2 linked regions of the Tamandua tetradactyla genome follow. Each later gene encodes a partner of the first gene's protein in a complex. Links are inferred from orthologs where the notes say so. Each region holds a gene or a part of one and is shown in the gene's direction. Other genes may lie near its edges.

What was found. Proteins that work in one complex are often made in the same cells at the same time.
Region 2: the proteins of ATP6V1A (region 1) and ATP6V1D are in contact, whole or in part, in a cryo-EM structure (PDB 9B8P), measured with the Rattus norvegicus proteins. The link is inferred for Tamandua tetradactyla from reciprocal best matches to the Homo sapiens genes ATP6V1A and ATP6V1D. Residues at the interface, in NP_001101788.1 of Rattus norvegicus: Ala366, Met368, Pro369, Ala370, Asp371, Ser372, Asp416, Ser418, Asp436, Lys438, Glu491, Gln494, Leu495, Val496; in NP_955418.1 of Rattus norvegicus: Lys4, Asp5, Arg6, Arg167, Ala171, Val175, Ile176, Arg179, Tyr186, Glu190, Arg194, Glu197, Tyr200, Arg201, Lys204, Ile205, Lys208.

What each region holds. Positions count from the first base shown.
Region 1 is NC_135336.1:32,902,684-32,913,022, reverse strand, and holds the start of ATP6V1A (V-type proton ATPase catalytic subunit A), read left to right. Parts: upstream 1-6,261; 5' UTR 6,262-6,388; exon of another isoform or gene 6,389-6,402; intron 6,403-10,339. Other genes in the region: NAA50 (N-alpha-acetyltransferase 50), read right to left, coding at 5,245-5,252. UniProt on the Homo sapiens protein: Catalytic subunit of the V1 complex of vacuolar(H+)-ATPase (V-ATPase), a multisubunit enzyme composed of a peripheral complex (V1) that hydrolyzes ATP and a membrane integral complex (V0) that translocates protons.
Region 2 is NC_135338.1:24,872,975-24,882,998, reverse strand, and holds the start of ATP6V1D (V-type proton ATPase subunit D), read left to right. Parts: upstream 1-5,332; 5' UTR 5,333-5,619; coding exon 5,620-5,660; intron 5,661-5,682; exon of another isoform or gene 5,683-5,749; intron 5,750-6,992; exon of another isoform or gene 6,993-7,073; intron 7,074-10,024. Other genes in the region: EIF2S1 (eukaryotic translation initiation factor 2 subunit 1), read right to left, coding at 374-614. UniProt on the Homo sapiens protein: Subunit of the V1 complex of vacuolar(H+)-ATPase (V-ATPase), a multisubunit enzyme composed of a peripheral complex (V1) that hydrolyzes ATP and a membrane integral complex (V0) that translocates protons.

The sequences.
Region 1 (10,339 bases):
ATATTAGCTCAGCAAAGAGAGGCAAATACATACATCCAATTCTCCCTTCCCTATCCATTATAAGCAGAGATTGAATGACAATACTCAAATCTAAACCCAGGACTGGCCTCAGAATCCTCCACAGAGGTATAAATAGCCACAAATTAACTGTCAGACTGTATGTTGAAACATTTACCATCTGGGAACTAGATTCTGGATAAAAAGATCATATTTTACACAACTTCATTTTTTTCACAGTCCAATACAGCGCCGTTGAACAGAAATATAATTTAAAGTCACATAAGTAATTCAAAATTTTCTACTAGCCACATTAAAAAAGTAAAACGAAACAAGTGAAATCATTTCAATGTGCAATCAAAATAAAAACTAATAATGAGTATATATTTTTCCATACTGGGTCTCCAAAACCCAGTATGTAGTACACTTACAGCACATCTCAATTCATGTAATTTCCCTTAGAAATATTTTGGTCTGTATTTATATTTCATAAAATGTATAGCTGAAAAAGAAGATCCACATATCCAAGTCATTCCATACTTAAAAACTGTCCAATAACAGACTGTATAAGTTTAAAATTTTTAATTAAATTTTAAAATTCTATTCCTCAGTCATACAACTCACAATTCAGTTACCCAACAGCCACTTTAACTAGCCACTACTATATTGGACACCACAGACCTAACACTTTGCCAATAAATTAGATACTGAATGAATGTAAATAGGAAATGATGGAGGAAGAAATATAAAGAGAAAGCTAGTTTGGGTGACGGCACAACAATGTAATTTTGTAGCTATTAAACTACAATCCAACAATTATTAATTCCTCGATGGAAAGGAAGTTCCTATTAGTTAACTACTGGTGTTCTATTGGTTATTGTGAGGTTGTTAAAAAAAAAAAAAGTTGAAGGACAAACATCTGAATAATTGAGAAAGCGTATCTCTTCAGATGGTACAAAGCTGAAAGTCCTAGTTGATGTTTGGAAGACAAAACCAGGAGACAAAATGACTTCCACAGTCCAAAATAGAGGATGTAGCAAAATGAAGTTATCAGTTGAAAACTAATAGATATCAGTTGAAAGACAATGGTTGAAATCTGCATAAGCCTCAGGAAGGGATTTTCGTTGAAAGTACAGTTAATATACAACAGTGTAAAATTAATTTGACCATAAATTGCAATAACAGGCATATACTATTCAGAACAATGATGACAACAGTCCCACCTCCCCATTCTACTAATCATATCTGGAGTGACATTCACATAACAGCAGTTTGAAAGTTTGAGAAACAGGGCATATTATCTTGAAGTGATAGAAGAATGCTTTGTCTTCTGGAAGATCTTTAAAAGACAATCTTAAAAAAAAAAAATCTCCCAACCCAGAAATTATTGATTATTCTTTGTTTTTTTTCCAAAACGTTACCATGGTTGACTACAAGTGGAGGACGGATTATTAAAAAAAAAAAAAAAAGAAAATCACACCCCTGTTGGCAACAGAGCTTGAGCCACCAATGCATATACTTGTTGGTATCTGATATCACTTCCTAAATTATAAAATTATTCTATTTACAGAGAAATATGAAATCTGATATTCTTATATCCTATGGTGTAGTTGTAGCTGACCATTTATATAATGAAATAAATATTTCATTACAATTTACTTTCCTTTTTATTTCTCCTTTATATTAAAGTTATAGGGAATTACACTGATTTAAAAAAAAAAACTTGCAGTACAGGTATATTCACCTCAATATAGCAAAGGGGACACTAAAGAGTATTTGTTAAAATCATCATCTCAAATAGCATCTCACAAGTTACTGGTTTCCCAGAAGTGAGGATCATGAATCACAGGTTTACAAAAGCTGACTCTTACTTTAGTCTGAAGGGCTTTAAAAAAAAAATTGCTTTGCTGGCAAAAACAGCAATAAAACGTTAAGAAAAAAAAGAAAAAGAAGCTGTCTAATAAATAAAATATTAAGAAAAAAGAAGCTGTTTAATAAGTTAAAAAAGTATAAGTTATACAGTAAAGGGTATAAATTGTGTGTACAATGCAACAGCTTTCTTTTTTTTTAATATATGTATACAACTATGTAATCAACATCCAGAAAAACACAGACTATTTCTAGCATCTCAGAATCTGACTCTCTTGTGTCCCCTCCCAGCCATAGTTGGAGGTAACCATTATTTTGAATTCTTCAACATAGTTTCTGACCAAGATTCTTATACTTTAATTTTATTTTCTAGTAGCATTTGCTGAAAATGACTTTTAGTGTTTTAATTAGTAAACTACATTGTTGCACATACTACATATTATTGGTGTCTACTCTCTACTTTCCCATCTTTACCTTGATCACGCATTTTTTTAAGTACATTTTTATGAGATCTAATTTATACCCCTTTTCTACAACTGAAGAGTAAATGGATTCACTTCTGCTTTCTATTATATTGACTAGTTAACTGCCACCTCAGTCATGGATGTCTATGGCATACCTTCTTGCTTGAGTTTCACCTTCCCTGGAGAGGAGTATAATTAAAATAATCAGCTTGCCATCCACAAATTCAAAATATAATGTCCCTTATTCATAAAAACAAGCAACCTCAGTACAAAGAAAGCATCATTCTTGTAACAGATCTCAAACACTGGACCTTTAAATACATGCAATAATTAATAATAGGAAATTCTCTACTATGGAGAAAGGCAAATATGTATGTTAACACAATGGAGTATTTTCTTCCTGGTAATAATGAAAACTAGGTAGATATATGAAGAAAAATGAGATAAATTCAAAAAGTTTAAAATGATAGATATGGAATATAAACAAACAACATAAAATATTTAAACTATACAGAATCAGGAGTTCTTCATTGTTTCAGATTTTAGGTATTCTATCCAACTTACTGTTCTGTTAGCTCAACATACAATAAAAACTTAGCAAATAAAATTCCATACAAAACCTACAGAGTAACTGACAACAAATCAAGAGTCAGGACTATAACACTGATTGCCTTCTGCTTGGTGATTTAAGTCTCTGAACTCAATGATGTTAAAATCTTGTAAACAATGTATACTGTCTTCTTGTGTTCAAACCTTAAATACAGACTTAGAAGCAAAATTTTTTTTTAAAGTACCATCTTACCTGTACTTCAGTTCATCTGGGAAGTTAAAGTGACTATTTCTGGAAAATCATAATTAAGGTTTACAGTTAAGAACACATTTCTAAGCTCCCAATCATGAGAAGTGCTAGGATCTAGACTTAAGGAATCTTCATTCCAGGGATGGTTGCTGGCTGGCATGAAGTACAAATTCAATAGCTGTGTTGCCTTAGGTTTCCTCTAAGTTTGGCTAATTACTCATTTCTGGGGCTCTGTCCCATCAAGTTAGTAACCTCTTACACGTAAATATTCATTTAAATAAAAAGACAGTTGCTTCATGGATATATTAAATGAATGTAGTACCTGAATAATACCACTATATAGCTCCATCTGTATAGCCATGTTAGGTATTACACATATTTCTTCCTAATTACACTGATCTAGACCAAAAAATTTGGAAACACCCAGAATAATTTCTTAGAGTCCCCCTTCTATAAATCTGTAGCAGCCTCATACTGGAAACTCTTCAGTTTCCTTTTTATTACTTGAAGAGAACAAGACAAGTTTGTACTGAGAGCCTGGCAATGAGAATACAGAAACAAGAGCCGACAACCATATTCAAGGAATGCAGTCTTACCAGGATTAAAAAAAAAAAAACACTCCCAAATTATGCTGGATCATGCCACATTTCCTAGATCATGATTTGAATGCAGCAAACACTTTTTAAGCCCCTCAATTAGTTTCCTTACTGGACTGATAGGATATAATGCAGGGACTGTGAACATTTCTTCATAATATCCTTAATTTCAAAGACTTTTTAATACAAAATGTACAATTTAACATTAGAAATAATTTCCTGTACTTAAAGGAAAATCATTGTAAGAAAACATATTACAGACCTAAGAACAAAAAACTTTCTTGGAACCTCTTCTTTAACACACACACACATATATAAACACACACTAGACAGTCTGAGATTACTTAAGCTTATCTTTATTTCATCTTCGAAAGGGCTGTTTGAAAGACTTCACTAACTCAAAAAGTTACTTATTTAACTGACTAAAGAGAAAAAACCGTAGGCACCTTAAAACCTTTTCATATTTATAAATTTTCAGGGCGGGCCACGGTGGCTCAGCAGGCAAGAATGCTCGCCTGCCATGCCAGAGAACCTGGGTTCGATTACCGGTGCCTGCCTATGCAAAAAAAAAAAAAATTTTTTTTTCATTTCTTTTTCTAAGGAGGGTAGAGAAGACAAGCTACAAAACTAACTCAGGCAATGATTTAAAATATAGCCTTATATAATTCTTATTTAAGAGTTATATTTAATACTAAGGAGACATTCTATCAACTGGAAACAGTCAAATCAAAATAGTCCCTAATTTTAACTAGAAGGGAAACAAAAACTTTGCAAAGCGTCTGAAAAAAGCATCAGATGAACACCCTAAGACCCCACTCAGCAGTCAGGGGCAACAGTAAACTACTGAAGCAATAGCTCCACCTACCGATCAACAACACTTCCTTAAACGTTTTGGCACCCCAGGACTACAGCGCTCGAGCTTTCTCCCCTCCCCCACCCGCTCTGACCCAACCCAAATCTAGTTGAGTCACTAGCCCTTAATACTCATACCCATGCTCTTTATTCTAATCCTCCCCCTCCCCCCCTCCAGAAGGTTCTGCACGGTTCCTAAGTGTGAATCAAACTGCACGGTGTGAAAGACAGCAGTTCCAGTGTTAATCCTCATCTGGAGAAGAGGACAAATTGACTACTCCACCTGGAGTGGCGGGCGGACACTGATCGGTGGCTCAGGCCGTCCATTCCGGGTAGGAGGCCACAGACGCCTCACAATAGCTTTTCCCTGCTGCCCCACTCATTCGCTACCTCCGTTCAGCCTACATTTATCCTTTGGGCCAAAATCCTCGGGTTTCCCGAGTCTTACCTCCGCTGGTCCTTCAGCCCGCCAACAACCCGAGCCCCGCCTCCGCCCCCTCCGTGAGTGGAGTGATCAGAGAAGCCCAGCAATCACCCTCTGCCCGGCACTTCACGACAGCCCTGTCTTCTCTCAGAGTCTCTCCTCTCTTTCGCTGCCTCCCTCCCTCTACCCGGGCTCAGGGTTTCTCCCCTGCCAACCAGGCCCAGCCCAGTTGCCCTTCCTCACCCTTTCATCTTCTCCGCCTGCTGAGGCCGTCGTTACCACTGATATCAACGCCGTCGTCGCCGCCGCCTTGAGCTCTTCGCGCCCTCAGCTCGGGCCACTCAACCCCAGAAGCCAGTCTACTCTCCTGGGGCAGGGAACTAAAGCGGGTGTCGGAGGCCGCAAGAATCAAGCGCGGCCCTGTGCCTCCAGAGGGGGCGGAGATGTCTCCTGCCGCCGCGTTGGTGCCGCCGCTTCTCCACACGTGCACACGGGGCGCTCGGCTCCAGCCCGCCGCCGCGCCGCCAGCCAGACCCGCCGCGGCGCCGTGACCTTTCACCCCACCCCCTCTACGCGCCGGCGCGTCCGCCGTTTCGCGCGCGCAGCCGCACTACTTCCCTTCGTGCGCCCTTCCCCCTCCAGTACGGGGCCTTCATTTTACTGGGTTTGGCGTTCTAGCATTCTCTTTTTCCTACTCCTTAACACTAATTGTGGGGCCTCGGTGGTAGAATCCATTTTTTCCACTCATCCTTTTTTCTCTCCCCTGTTAACAATATCAACCGTCGCCCACCCTTTCTTCCTAATTGGTAGTATCCAGAATGACCTTCAAATGCTTCTGTTTCCTAATAGGATTTTATTGAAACCAGTTCTTCGAAAATGTAAATAAGTCTGTGAAAAACTTAAATAAAAGTAGGTGGATTTGACACAAACGCAATTAACTGGCGGGTTTACTCGACTTTCCTCCACATGCCTCCAGCTTTAAGATGACGTGATTGGTCCAAACCTTACAGCCTGGGATTTTGCTGGTGCGCCGCAAGGGAACTCTATCGCCATTTCCGGTCACTAGATTATGGCTTGGACGTCACTTCCTTAGCATGTACCTTAACCCTTGTCGTGTACGCTTCCTACGTTACACTTCATGACACAAACTTTGTATAAATGTTTACGCTTCTTCTTTAATCACAAACAGAAAAATTTAATGCGCAAACGATCCACAAAAATAGAGCCTTCTCAGATGAAGTGCGCGCGGATGGAGGCGGCGGGGAGGAGCTCTAGGTCACGTGCTGTCTAGACCCGCCCCCTCTGCAGCTGAAGACTTCCCCGCCCGCGGTGACAGAGCTCCTGCGTCCGTGGTCCTTACTGGTCTCTGCACCTCGCGCCACAGCAGGTGAACGGCGACCGGTAATCGGCGACTGGTGGGGATAGTAGAAGGGGTTGGTGGGCGATGTGGGGGAGTGCGATAGGCGGCCGTCGCTGCCGGGGCCTTCATCTCCATTGTCACCCTGCACCAGAAAGGCGCTCATTTTTCTAGTACTACTGAGCCCTGCTCCCTACTTTGGCCGCCCCCGCTACCTGGGGGTTGGAATGTCCACTCTTTCCAGGGTTGGGGGTACGTGCGGCCATTGTGGTTTCCCATTGGAAGTCCTTGGGACTTCGACAAGTGGTATTGCTTCAGCTAGTCCTCGGGGTCTGCAACAGCCGCCCGGTCTCATTCCCTAAAGCCCATTCTTTGGCAGAATACCTGCGCCGCCTTTCCCCCAACTCGGGGCTGAGTAGCGAGGAAGTAGGAAAAAAACCTGGAGGAAGAAGTGTCTGTGGTGAGATAGGCTTGGTAGAGAATGTCACTGATATGGATGACCCTCTCTGCGGAGTCACCGAAGAGCTTGCTTGCGAACGTGCTTTCTCAGTAATTATAAGGTTTTTATCTGACATCCCTGCCGTAGGGGCTCTGTAGGTGTCCACATGCTTTGGGTGGTTCTGGAAAGGTTTTTAAAAACAAGGTTGAACCTTTCACCTCAGATTTTATGGTGAAAAGAGGGAGGGAGGACTGTTAAAAGAGTGGATATATGCTAGCTTGAAAACAGGGGTGATGGTAATGCGACAGTGTCAGTTGAATGAAGAGGCGTTGGAAGATTGTTGCAACGTCGCGTACTGGAAGAGGTTCAGGCTAGCCTATGGAAAAGTGACTAGATTTTTCTGAAAGGAAAGTAATTCTTCAGAAACTGATCGGGCTGAAAATGGAATATAATTAAGTTTACTTGACCATAAATTTAAGATAAGATTAAGTTAGGATATTGCTGACTCCATGTTTTCTGGTTTTGGACGTCCTTATCTATATACCTTCTTACATAAAGCTATTTCTCCCTAAAATCCTACCTAAATGCTACTTCCTGTCAAATCCTTGACCAGTTTTAAGTAGCGCTTTGCAGCCCTCCTTAGCTCTCTCCATTTGTGAAATACCAGGTGACTTCTACATATTTTAATGAATAGTGTTTTGTGAAAATACAAAAATTGTTTTGCCTAGGTCTTGCCCAATAGTTAATGTTTTGCCCCCAACACTATTATTGCTCAAGGGAAGAGGCTTTTTCAGTTTGTATTGCAAACTCAGAAAGTTCTTTAGTTCTTTTACATCCAAAAGCCTCACAGATATTACAGATTTAATTTGCACTTTTTTGTAATCCGAAAAATCATGTTCTCAGTTAAGTCTCGTTAAACCAATGTAAATGAATAGTCCATTCAAAAGACAGTTGTCAAAGAGGAGGATGGTATCATTATCACTGGGATGTGACCCAATTACTCATTTTTGTATTTCTGTGTCTCCCAAATTTTGTACAATAAACTTGTTTTGTTAAGGAGAACAAAAAGTTAATTAAAATTTTGAAATAAAAACAATTTTAAAATAGTTTTATATTAAGTTAGTAATAGAAAAACTGTCCTATTGATGCTCCTTACAGAAAACATAACTTTAAAGGTCTTTCTTACTTGCTTTTTGCTCTAGTAATGAAGAAGACCAGAATTGTCCCCTTTGGATGTACAGTTTTGGCATTTTGTACTTAGATCCACAATAGTATTAATCTTTTGATAATTTATGTAGCTATGCCTGCTGCAGATATATAGTATTATCAATGAATTTGCTCCAGTGTGAGGCTTTCCTGATCTCTGTAGGACAGAAAAAAAAAAAAAAGAGCAGTATTGCTTCATTGCCCTGGGTGACATTCAGCCAAATAAGGAGAATTGCTTAAGTTCTGTGGAAGGTCCAAACCAGTCCTGGCTGGCTATGACCAAAGTAGAAAAGAAAAAACAGCTAAAAGCTTAGAGTACTAAAGGAAAACATCAATATGAAAGAGGTTGAATGAGTCTGCAATTTTACTTCACAATTCCCCCAATTTTAGGGAATTTATGACAGCAATAATTTAGATCACTGATGAAATCTGTGAGATTAGCAGCAGGAATTGGTAACTGAATTGCAGCTAAAGATGAGTGGTGAAAAGAGCTTTGACAGAATTATTCTCTCTCTCTCTCTCTCTCTCTCTCTCTCTCACACACACAAACACACACACACACGCACACAAAGTGATTTGAAGCTTGGAAGACATTTCTGAGACCAGCTTTATCAGTTTGAGTGTTACATGCAGAAATCTTAATGTTCATTAGGAAATTCAGTGGCTCCACAATTCAGTATTAAATGGTACCTAAGGTTTTTGCGTTAGGGTCCCTGACACTCTTCTGCTCTTCCTTTGAGGTTTTTCTTGTATTTCACTGCCTTTACAGATTGCTGTTCATACCAAGAATGCTCTTCCTTCTTCCCACCGGCAGAGCTAGTCACTTAGTCCTATAAACTATTATGCAATACTTTCAATTTATTTTAACTTTTAATACACTGTATTTAATTACTGTTTGCGGGCAGGCAACAGTGACTCTGACAGAATTCTCGCCTGCCGTGCCAGAGACCCGGGTTCGATTCCCAGAGCCTGCCCATGTCAAATAAATAAAAAATAAAAATAGAATTGATTATTAATTACTGTTTGCTAGACTGTTCCTCACTAAAGCTCCTAGGAGTTCAAGTACAGAGTCATTACTGCTGTTGTGTTTTAGCATCAGAGTGCTGAAGTACTAATAGGTATTGAATAAATTATTGACTATAGAGTATTTGGCAATTAGACAAGAAAATTAAATAACTTTAGCTCTTGCTGATCATATCGCCACCTAAGGTTATGCACTAGGTACCAGATATAATTGCTAATAATAAGCATCCAAATCTTTGTCAGTAGAATAGACATAAGCCTTAAATGAACTTATGATTAATTCAGTGATCATTGTAATTCTTTTCACAACAAATGTTTATAAAAGGTTTGGTTATCATCCAAATATGGGAGGGAAAGGAAGAGGAATAAGTTGTACTAACTGGAAAAAGTGTTTCTGCATGTGCTACAAATGGTATAGCATTATACTAAAATCATAAGGTCTTCAATCATGCCACTTTAGTTATATGTCCTTTTAAGTAAAGTTAGGATTGGAGAGCTAGGGTTTGATATTTAAGAACCTACCTCTCAAAGTTATTGTGCATTCAGGTGAGATAAGCCCTAGGTGATCTATATGAAAATAATTTTAAAATAACGTGGTATGTAAATGTAAAGCAATATAGTGCAGACTTTACGAGAATAGATTTTCCAATCAGAGCTGGGTTCAAATTCTGGCCCTAACAACTTATTAGATGTATGACCTTGGACAGTTTATTTAACCTAAGATTAAGTTTTCTCCTGGGTAAAATCTCCATAGGTGCTATTAAATAAGATCGTGAATATAGAGTGCTAGTACATGTTTTGTTAATTTTTTTTTATTATTAACTTTACTGATACCTACCATATATTATGTATTTATGTATGTATGTATTTATGTATTGTTATAGTGTATGGTGGGGGTTACATTTCATTGTTTTTCCTTGTGACTATCCCATTATTGCAGCACCATTTGTTGAAAAAAAATTTTTTTGGAGGGGTAGGGGGTAAATGCATGGGCCAGGAATCAAACCAAGATCTCCCACATGGCAGGCGAGAATTCTACCACTGAACTGCCCTTGTACCCCCTACTTCTATATTTTTGTACTGAATTTCTTAGGCACGCAAGACAGCCTAAAAAGTGAGTAGTGCCTCTTTTTGAGCACCAGGTTTGGGATATGAAGGAGATGGTAGAATTTAAAATTAGACTATTCAGAAAAATATGTATATATGTATATACTTCTAGCAGAGACTCTGAAACAGCTCTATTGGTTGGAGCTAAAACATATCAATATAAGGTCCATTATTTTAGCGACTGCAGTAACTTAATATTTTCTCTG
Region 2 (10,024 bases), on another chromosome or scaffold:
CCTGATAATTTGTTGGGATAAAACTAAAGTTTTTTGACCCACAAAGCTAGCACCTGAATGAATGAATTAAACCATAGTAAACTGAATCTTGGTTAGATGGCTAACTGGCATCCTTCTCTAAAAACTTTGTATGTAAAAGAGTTTAAGTATAAAAGTTCTATTTTTTAAAATAAAAGTGGTTAAATTGACAAAAAAATTTTTAAATCAATTTCTTTCTTTTTTTTTTAACATGGGCAGGTACCGGGAATCGAACCTGGGACCTCTGGCATGGCAGGTGAGAACTCTGCCTGCTGAGCCACCGTGGCCCACCCTAAATCAATTTCTTTTTAACACCAGAAATTGGAATTATATTTTGGATATTTTTCTCACTTACCTTTTTCTTTGTCCACTCTAATGACAACCACGCATTCATTCCTTCCAATTCGGATGAGTTTGTTTATAGATCGAATGCGCCTTCTGGACAACTCACTAAGAAGAATCATGCCTTCAATGTTGTTGTATTCCAGCAAGCTGACATAAGCCCCCATTTCAGCAATGGATCTTACATTCACCATCACTACATCTTCCACCTCAGGAAACTTGTGTTGATAAAATCTACAACTTAAACCTGGCATTCTGCAATTTAAACAAAATAATCAAATAAGTTATCTATTATAGTCAAAATAAAGAAAAATTAATTTTCTACATCTTGCCCCTGAAAGAAAACAAAGATAAAGGAAAATATAGCTTACTAGTCTTTTCACATTTTTAAACTTCTTTCTGGTACCAGAAAACAGATAGATGTTCAAATACAGAATTCAGAAAACCATTATCAGTTTTGTACAATCTTAGAATAAAGATCAGATGGTTAGTAGAAGGGAGGTTACACTGAATAAACATCCAATAGGTCTTGACAGGAACCAAGCCTTAATTTTTATTTTGCTCCACATTTATGTGAGGCTTGCGTGATTCTCTGCCATCAGTTTCAGAGGAATCATAAAAACTAATGACCATCTATAAAGTATTCTGAGACCTAAGAATCAAAGGTACACCTCAAAGGTAAAATACTATTTTAATAACAACACTTTAAGGAATGCCAAATGATGGGAAGCATCACTACTATTTCAAGCCTATCAGCAAAACTAAAGCTACTCTTAACCAAGTCAGCTAAGACTGTACATGCTACCACCCCCACACTATGAAGGGAGGAAATGTTCTGATTACCTAAACGTTGGCACTAATCAATAAGGGAAGAAAATCCTATCATTTCTCATTGCCAAAATTACAGTATCATTCGTCAAGGATATAAAAACAAAAAAAACATGTCAATCACAAAAGATATTAAACTTAACTAAAATGCATCCTCTCAATTTTCTTTTAAAATGAGCTTGAGTTTAATTCACAAGTACCATACTTTCTAGCTTTTACTTTCCATATTATTTCCAAATTACTTTTTTTGTTGTTGACTAGGCATATCTATTCTTGAGAACAGCCTTACAGATTTCCATTACTATAAAGCTCAAGCTTCTCTCAACCTCCAAGCATTAAATATATTTAAAACTATTCCCTTTGATCCACCCAAGCTACTTGCAGTACCACACCTTTTTTCTACAAGTGGTTCTCAAATTTACTTGGTAGAGCACCTGGAAGTTATTCTTCAGCTAACATGAAATACCTCATATTACTTCCATTGATATGACTCACAATCCTGAAATCATACCCTTGGTCGATGTGTATTTTTAAAAAGGAAGGGCTCAAACTAATCATGGCTGATTATCTTCATGCTCTTCTGTTAACCTTAAGAACTATTTAGTGTTGTCAGAGTTCAGAAGATAAGGAATAACAGGACCTAAAGATATAAGGAAAATTTGTGAAAAATTACTTAGCAACTTATTTTTTTCTTGTAAGTTGGGAAATCTTACTGACAGATCTTACTGACAGAGCCTCCACATCCAGCTCATGAAACACTAGAGTTCTGCTGCAATGTTAAATGGCACACACATATCTTCCCGGTGGGGCCTAGTAACTTACACACATTGTTACTACCTACAGGGTCCTCTATATAATCTGGTCACTGTTTATCTCTCCAAGGTACCACTCCCCCCCTAGTTTTCCGTATTTTATAGATGAAGAAACTGAAGTACAGTTTAAGCAACTTGTCCCTTCATACTACTGTTGACTGATAGGGCCAAAATTTGAACCCAGTTTCGATCCAGAATCTGCCCTTATCCACCCAGCTATTCTTTTCAGTATTATCAACAAAAAGATTACAATTAGAAACATCTAACTTAAACAAAAAGCAACTAACATACATATGTGACTCTGAAACATATACCACAGATTGGTGCACACTATTAGTACTAACCTATCCTGTTTAACAACAGCCAAAAAAGCAGCATATAAGTAACAGTGGCAGAGATGTATTTCTTTTGTAGCAGCCTACAAAAGGGATCTAGCAAATGACAGAAACTAGACAGTCAATGGCCAGAATTATCCACCAAGATACAGCTGAGCTAGTTGTTTTGTTTTTAAACAGGGTGTTTTTTGGGAGAGAGGCAGAGGACGAACAATTGCTGTCAGACAGACGTCTATAAATAAAGTGCTCAAATTTGAGAGCCAAAAAGTTTCAAATTGTATGTCAAAATAAATGTAATGGAAATGCATGACAGTTCTAAAAGATTTAACAGGTGTTAACCACATTTACCCATCAACTTTCTTCAAATATCAAAGTTGGTAATTTTGGGGAAGCAAGGCTTAAGTTTATGGCTAAAGAACACAGGCAATATTGTGAAAGAATCCTGAAGGGAGCGATGAGTGATACTTCTTTAGGAAGTAAGATCCTTTGTAATACCTGGGCTAAAAGGATGATTTCTGTATGTTATTAACATTAAAGAAAAAAGTAGCTAGTAAGAAATAATTAACTTCATAAAGAAACTACATTTTAATTGAGAGATTTGAATACATCTACTTATGAAATACTAATAATTACACTAATTTTTTTTAACAGTCAGGAAACCAGAAACCACACTAGGTATCCATTCAGTCCTTTATCATTTTCAAGGCACTATGATTAAAGAATATTTTGTCTTCAACAACAAGCCTCAAGCCAGGCAAGCAGTACAGTGAACTTTGGAAACAGCCTTGAGTTCCAGTGCTTGGGTCCTAGCTATTAGCTGTGGTTGCTTGAGAAAGGTACCCTCTTTGAACTCCAATTTTCTTGTTTGTGCCACATATCTGACAGGTTTGTTAAGGGTTAAACAAGATCAAATATATGCGAAAACATCTTGAAAACTGTAAAGTTCTACAAAACATAAGATATTAAAAGGCAAAGGAGGTCTTAATTCCATTTTATAATTTAATACATTAAACCATATCTACTATGTACTGTTGATACAAGAAAAGATCCTACCTAAGGAATTAAGCATAAAGTGGGAAACAAACTAGTAAGCAAATTAAATACAAAATAAGGTGTTCTGAAAGGAGCACAGTATAGCACTCGATTAACAGGGAACCCAGGAATGGAAATATTAAATGACTTTCTCAAGGACAACTGTTTAACAAGTGGATGTGCAGCAGCTAAACCTAAGTCTTCTGACATCAAATCTAGAGCATCATCCACTTTCAAAATGTATTAACTGAACTATACGCTAATTTCAGATTCCTGCATTGTCAATAAATTTTGCCTGCTCATGTAATAGGTTAGAAGTTCTTTCTTAAACCAGTCATAACTCACCACAATAAAAGCAGGAAGTCCATCTTTTCCAAATTAAAGCTTACTGCATAACAACAACACCACTGATAATTTTAATTTAGCTCTTACCAGTTGTGTTTTCTGAATGCTAGATTTTAGTATATGAATACTACACAAAACAAACTTTTTCGCTGTAGTTGAGGTATCATCAAGATTGCAAACGTTACTGTGGATCAGGCAGCCAAAACTTTTGACAATCACGATTGTGTCTTGGCAAAAAAAGAACTGAGAACAAGCACCAAAGTTATGTATAAGTAATGCCCAAACTTCTGAAAAACAATTTTTTTTCTTGAATAACAATTCAGTCGGGAAAAAATGTCAAGATTTCTGTTACACATTTTCTCCAAGAAACAATGTTTCCTGTTAAATGAAAATTAAAACAGCATAAGTTAATTGAAGGGATGTAAGGCTGAGTAAGTATTTAACCCTCAAGTACTCCTATCTTATGCTTTTATATTCCCACAGTGTGTAATTCTACAGTTCTAGTCGTATCATCGCCAAAATGTGGTAAACTGACACTAAGAGTAACAGACCTCAGTAATAGGATTTAGTTTCAATTCAAGGGATAACGCCTGCTACAGAAACATACAACTAGAGCGATAGGGTAATTAAACTTCGATTTTTAAAAACAAATTATCAAATGAATAAACTATTCTCGGACCTTCGTTACCTCAGGTCATTTCCACACGGTGGCCGTTCTCACTGATTCGATCTGGACACTTCTGCCTTCATCAAGAGGCAGGAAAAATTTTGGTAGTATTACTGGGGAGGAAGGAAAAAGGGATGGAATTCTCAGGCCCGGAAAAAAACAAAGCACTCAGCGTCCTGGAGCTGGGAGGTGTCAGAGCGTCCTCTCCAAGCCGCCCCACCTTAAGTCATCCTCACTTTAAACCCACTGAAGAGGGTGTACTGTTTAACTTGTCATCACCAGATTTCCTCGCACGTACAGTGATGCCTCTGGAATCTGAAAGACCGACACCGAGCCGGCAAGGAGGCTTGCTACACATCCGGGGGACGGTGGCGGTGTCCAAATACTTCCCGCGCACGGACGGGAAAGGGAGGGGGTGTTAGCCCGGGGCCTACCCTCTTTCGACCACCCAGGTCACAGGACACAAACCAAAGTGAGTTCTTGGAGAAACCGAGCTGGGGCACCAGTCACCTGAGGAATGTGTCCGAATTCCGTACTGGGGTCCCGCGCCGCGATCTGTAACCGGGTAGATGAAACCTGTTCCACCCGCACCAGCCACCGATCCGCACCAACCACCGATCCGCCTCAGCGTGCGCTTTGCTCGACCCCACCGCGCATGCGGAACCACCTCGTACCACGCAAGCGCTAACAGAGTAGAGGCCCTACATCACTGATCATAGAGTCGAGGTCCTCCGAGAACTAGGAAGAATGAGGGTCACAGCAGGATTTGAATAGTATTCGTTCTCGTTATCTTTATTGTTCCCTGAGAAATCTTTAAGGCGCGCGCGAGAGGTAGGACTGTGACTCCTTGTCCCTGAAGAATGAATCCTTTATCAAAGTTTTCGTCAACCACGTGGTGGCGCTGTGGACAAAGACGGAAAGTGGAAGAAGACAAGGAGTGTTCTCTTCCCTTTAGGCCGGCGCACGCAGCGCCAGGCGCAGCCATCGGACTACAGGCGAACCGGAATCCAGTGACAGTTCGCGGAGCCAGAGCTTCAACATCCGGGCATTACCTCCTTCCCAGCCCTCCTCCTCCTATGCCGACAGGAAGCGGAAGTGAAGAGTGCATATCCCGCTGCCTCTTAGCAACGGGAGGGGTTTCGTGACCCAACCCCCTGACTCCGGTAGTGGCGTGCGAGGACTGGAACTATTGCAGCCACGATTGCCCGGCGGGGACCAGAGCCGTACAGTCATCGTCAGAATGTCGGGCAAAGACCGAATTGAGATCTTTCCCTCGCGAATGTAAGTAAGAGAATGTGTCGCGTGACACCCGTAGGTTCAGGAACGCCTGCCCGGAATGCGGTACCTCCATATTCTGAACCAGCAGCTAGGTACCTTGTTTCTTGAGTCCCTCTTGAACTGCCCTCAGCTTCTTACTTCGTGGTCTGTGGTGAACGCTCCCGAAGAGCGCCCACACCCAGTCCTCTTGAATGTTACAGATCGGACAGAATGATTCAGGTTATAGGAACAGGCGCCCTGACTTTTGTGAAAAGTCACCCATTTCACGAAACATTGCTATGTGCCAGGCCCTGAGACGGGCATTGGATTTATATGACTGAATCTTCGCATTCCTGTCCTCACAGAGCTTACAGTTTAGTGGTGAGGAAGACAAACAAATGAGATTTGGTAAATTATCTGAAAAGGGAAGTTTACTGGAGTGGAGAAGGGGCATGTAAACCAAATTAGCGATAGAATCGAATCACTCTTGTATGGACGTCAGAGATCTTGAATCGTCCTATTCATTTTCCAAAACTCCACCTGCCCTGAAAAGACATCCTGTGTTTCTGAGGCACGCCATCACCACTACACCTTGTTCAGACCTCCGTTGCCTGATGAAGTGATATTTGTTTACATACATTTCTCTCCCGCTAGAATGTTAGCACTCCAGGTTGAAAGTGTCTTCAATATTTACACATTTAGAAAGTACACAAAAAATGTTGCTTGAACAAATTTTTGCCTTGGAGTCTGCTTAGCCGTAGGATACGATTTCTTTGGGTCCGAACTCTTTGGCAGAAGAAAGAACTGTACCCCAGGTTTTTGGCCAGTTTGAAAATTTTTCTCAAATCCCCTTAACAGATTGTGGAGTTGCAGAGAGTAAAAATGTTCTTATTTGTGTTGTCCTCCACCTTCTCTCCTTTTTTTCAGTGAGGAGGCAGAAAATCAGATTTGCCTCTGGCATTAGATTGTTTGATTGTCGTCCTACATAGAATCTGAGAATACAATTAAACAGTTATATTCAAACTCAAAGGCCCATCTCTGCTAGGTTGGCTACAGCTCTTAATAAAATGAATGCTTTCTTTACCTTCACCTGTTGGCTTTCTCTTAGCTGTATGTATTAGATAGAAGCAAACTAATTGTGTAGAAGGGCAATAGATGTGAAAATAGATAAGAATGTTAACATTTCTTGCTTTTATTTTGGAACTTTTACTTTGTTTGGGATTTAGAGGTGAGAAAAATGTGAAAGCAAAAATTGCAGTTTGAGAGTACTTGAGAGTAGGTAGCTTGCTGCCTGAGAGGAAAATCAGATGCAGGAAGTAATTCCTTCTCTAAATATTTTCCTATGGCCTGACAAAGGTGCTTTGTCATGGAATCATATGTCTTTGATTCATCTGGAAAGAAAGTCATCATCCTGAAGGTCAAATATTTTTTGTAGGGGTAAGTAGCTCTGAAACTTGTAAAAGAAAAAATTTTTAAGACCTGGGCTAGAACATATACTGATGATTACTGTTATACAGACAGTTCAAATACTGTAAGGATAAGACAAAATTATTTTGTTAAATGTTGCTTAGGCGCACTTATGCACAAGAGAAATCAAAACAAGTTTAGAGTAAAAGCAAAAGAGGCATGAAGGATTTGGAGTCAACAGAGGTCTGTCAAATCCAGGTTCTATTATTACATATTAGCTATAAGCCCCCTTGGGTTAAGAGTGTATGTCATTTTTAGAGTCTCAATAAATGAAATTTGTTCATGTCACAGAGATGCCGTTACCTAGGAGGAAATAAAAATCAGCGTGGAGAACTTAATCTATTCACCTTCATACTGTGAACTTCATGGAATCTTCAGTACTAGGGTTTGACTTAAATTTGATCCAGGTCTTTGAGCCCAAATTCTGGCATTTAGTGTAAACAATACGGTGTGTTTCATGTACACATTCCTGCTCATGCTGGAAGCTCAACCTGCTTTAGTTGGCTAGACTTCTGATGAGGACAGTCGGTGCAAAGTCAACTACTGATAGCTCTTTCAAACAGAGCTATCATCTGATGCTACTTGTAATCTTTACTGGGAGGCAGCATGTCGTATGGTTAGGTACTAGGTTTGTCCCTTACTTTGAGCCTTGGGCAGATCACTAGAGACAGAAATCTGTGATTCAAGTTCCTGCCCTGCTTTTTCTTCTCTGAGTAACTGTGGGAAAGTGCTCCACTTCTCTGAGCCTCATTTTCTTGATCTTTAATATAATATTTGAAGTCCCTTTCGGCTACAAAATTGTGACAGTAACTTTAACTCTATTGCAGAAGAATTTCAGTATAATCTGAGAATTTAGCCTCAAGGTATAATAATTGCTATTTTGCATTGATTAATACCACCAGTGATATGAAATTATGTCCCCTTTTACAAATCACTATAAGTGCCTTGGTCATCCAATCTGCTGTTAAATTTTATTGTATAAACATTTTTATTTCATCATTAAATTATATCTAGCATAGAATAGAAATGTCAATTTCTGCTGTTACTTTCTTGACTATGGTATTGGTTTCTGATGGGAAAATATTAAAATGAGTTTAGCAGACTTCAGTATAAGTTTAATTTGCCACTGCTCGGGAGTCATATATGCCATTTGTTACGTAGAGTCATTTACAGATTAATAAAATGATTAGTATTTGTGTTTTTTCAATATGAACTTTTTTATCACATAGTTGTATATTCATCATCATGAACATTTCTTAGAACATTTGCATCAATTCAGAAAAAGAAATAAAAAGAAAACAAAGAAAAATTCATGCATACCATACCCCTTGCCCCCTCCCTTTCATTGATCACTAGCATTTCAATCTACTAAATTTATTTTAACATTTGTTCCCCCTATTATTCATCTTTATTCCATATGTTTTACTCATATGTTGATAAGGTAGATAAAAGGAGCATCAGACACAAGGTTTTCACAATCATGTAGTCACATTGCGAAAGCTGTGTCATTATATAATCATCTTCAAGAAACATGGCTATTGGAACACAGCTCTACATTTTCAGGCAGTTCCCTCCAGCGTCTCTGTTAAGCCTTAACTAAAAAGGTGGTATCTATTTAATGTGTAGGAATAAACTCCAGGATAACCTCTTAACTCTGTTTGGAATCTCTCAGCCATTGACACTTTATTTTGTCTCATTTCTCAATTCCCCCTTTCAGCGGAGAATGTTTTCTCAATCCCTTGGTGCTGAGTCCCAGCTCATTCTAGGATTTCTGTCCCACATTGCCAGGAAAGTCCACGCTCCTGGGAGTCATGTCCCATGTAGAGAGGGAGGGCTGTGAGTTTGCTTGTCATCTTGCCTGAGAGAGAGAAGCCACATCTGAGCAACAAAAGAGGTTCTCTTGAGGGAGAAAGAGAAAGGTCTAATTTTAAGTAGGCTCAGCCTGTCCTTTGCAAGGGTTAAGTTTCACATGAACAAACCCCAAGATTGGGGGCTCAGCCTATTGCTTTGATTGTCCCCACTGCTTATGAGAATATCAAGAATTCTCCGCTTGGGGAAATTGAATTTTCCCCCTTTCTCACCATTCCCACAAGGAGACTTTGCAAATACCTTTTTATTCACTGTTCAAATCTTTCTGGGATTTACTGAGGCATCACTCTAGACAAACCTACAGAATCTCATGCCCTATTCAAGATTCCATGTACTTACTGTGTTCAGTTAAACTGACCATACAAGTTAAATTAGGAAATGCACTACCCAACATATAAACTTGGCATCAAATAAACATCATCTCTCCCTTTAGTCTCACACAGAAGTTGAAGTTTTAAAATATGGATGATATCATCCTTTACCCAGTCTTCTGATATACTTTAGTCCTATGCAGATAAGCTTCATTCATATCTCTGTTTGATGGCTGATCACTTTTTCAATTTTTTAAACAGTTACTGTATGGGATACTATTGACTTTCATAGCTTCAGAGCTCTAACTCTAAATCTCAGGTGTCACATAAATACCCGAAGTTTGTGGGAAAGACCATGTTATATACAAACAACTCAGTATCTGAGAATTTAGAATTAGCAATTACACTTCCTGAAAATATATGACTGTTGTAAGAGTTTACAATCTAGGACCCTTTATAATATGTCCCAACTTGATAATGCCACACTTTTAGTAGAAAAAGTAAAATATGGTTGTGGTATAAGATTCAAAAGATAGACTAGAGAGTATCATAGTAAAAAGTAAGTTCATTTTCTTCAGTAGTCCCATTTCCCAAAGCTAACCAGTTACCAGTTTCTGTGTATCCTTTCTAGCACTATCCTCTGCGTCTATTATAAGCATATTTATCCTTTACTTTACACAACTGAGAACACATTCTAGATGATAGTCTACTCCTTGCAATACAATGCAGGGAAATTATTTC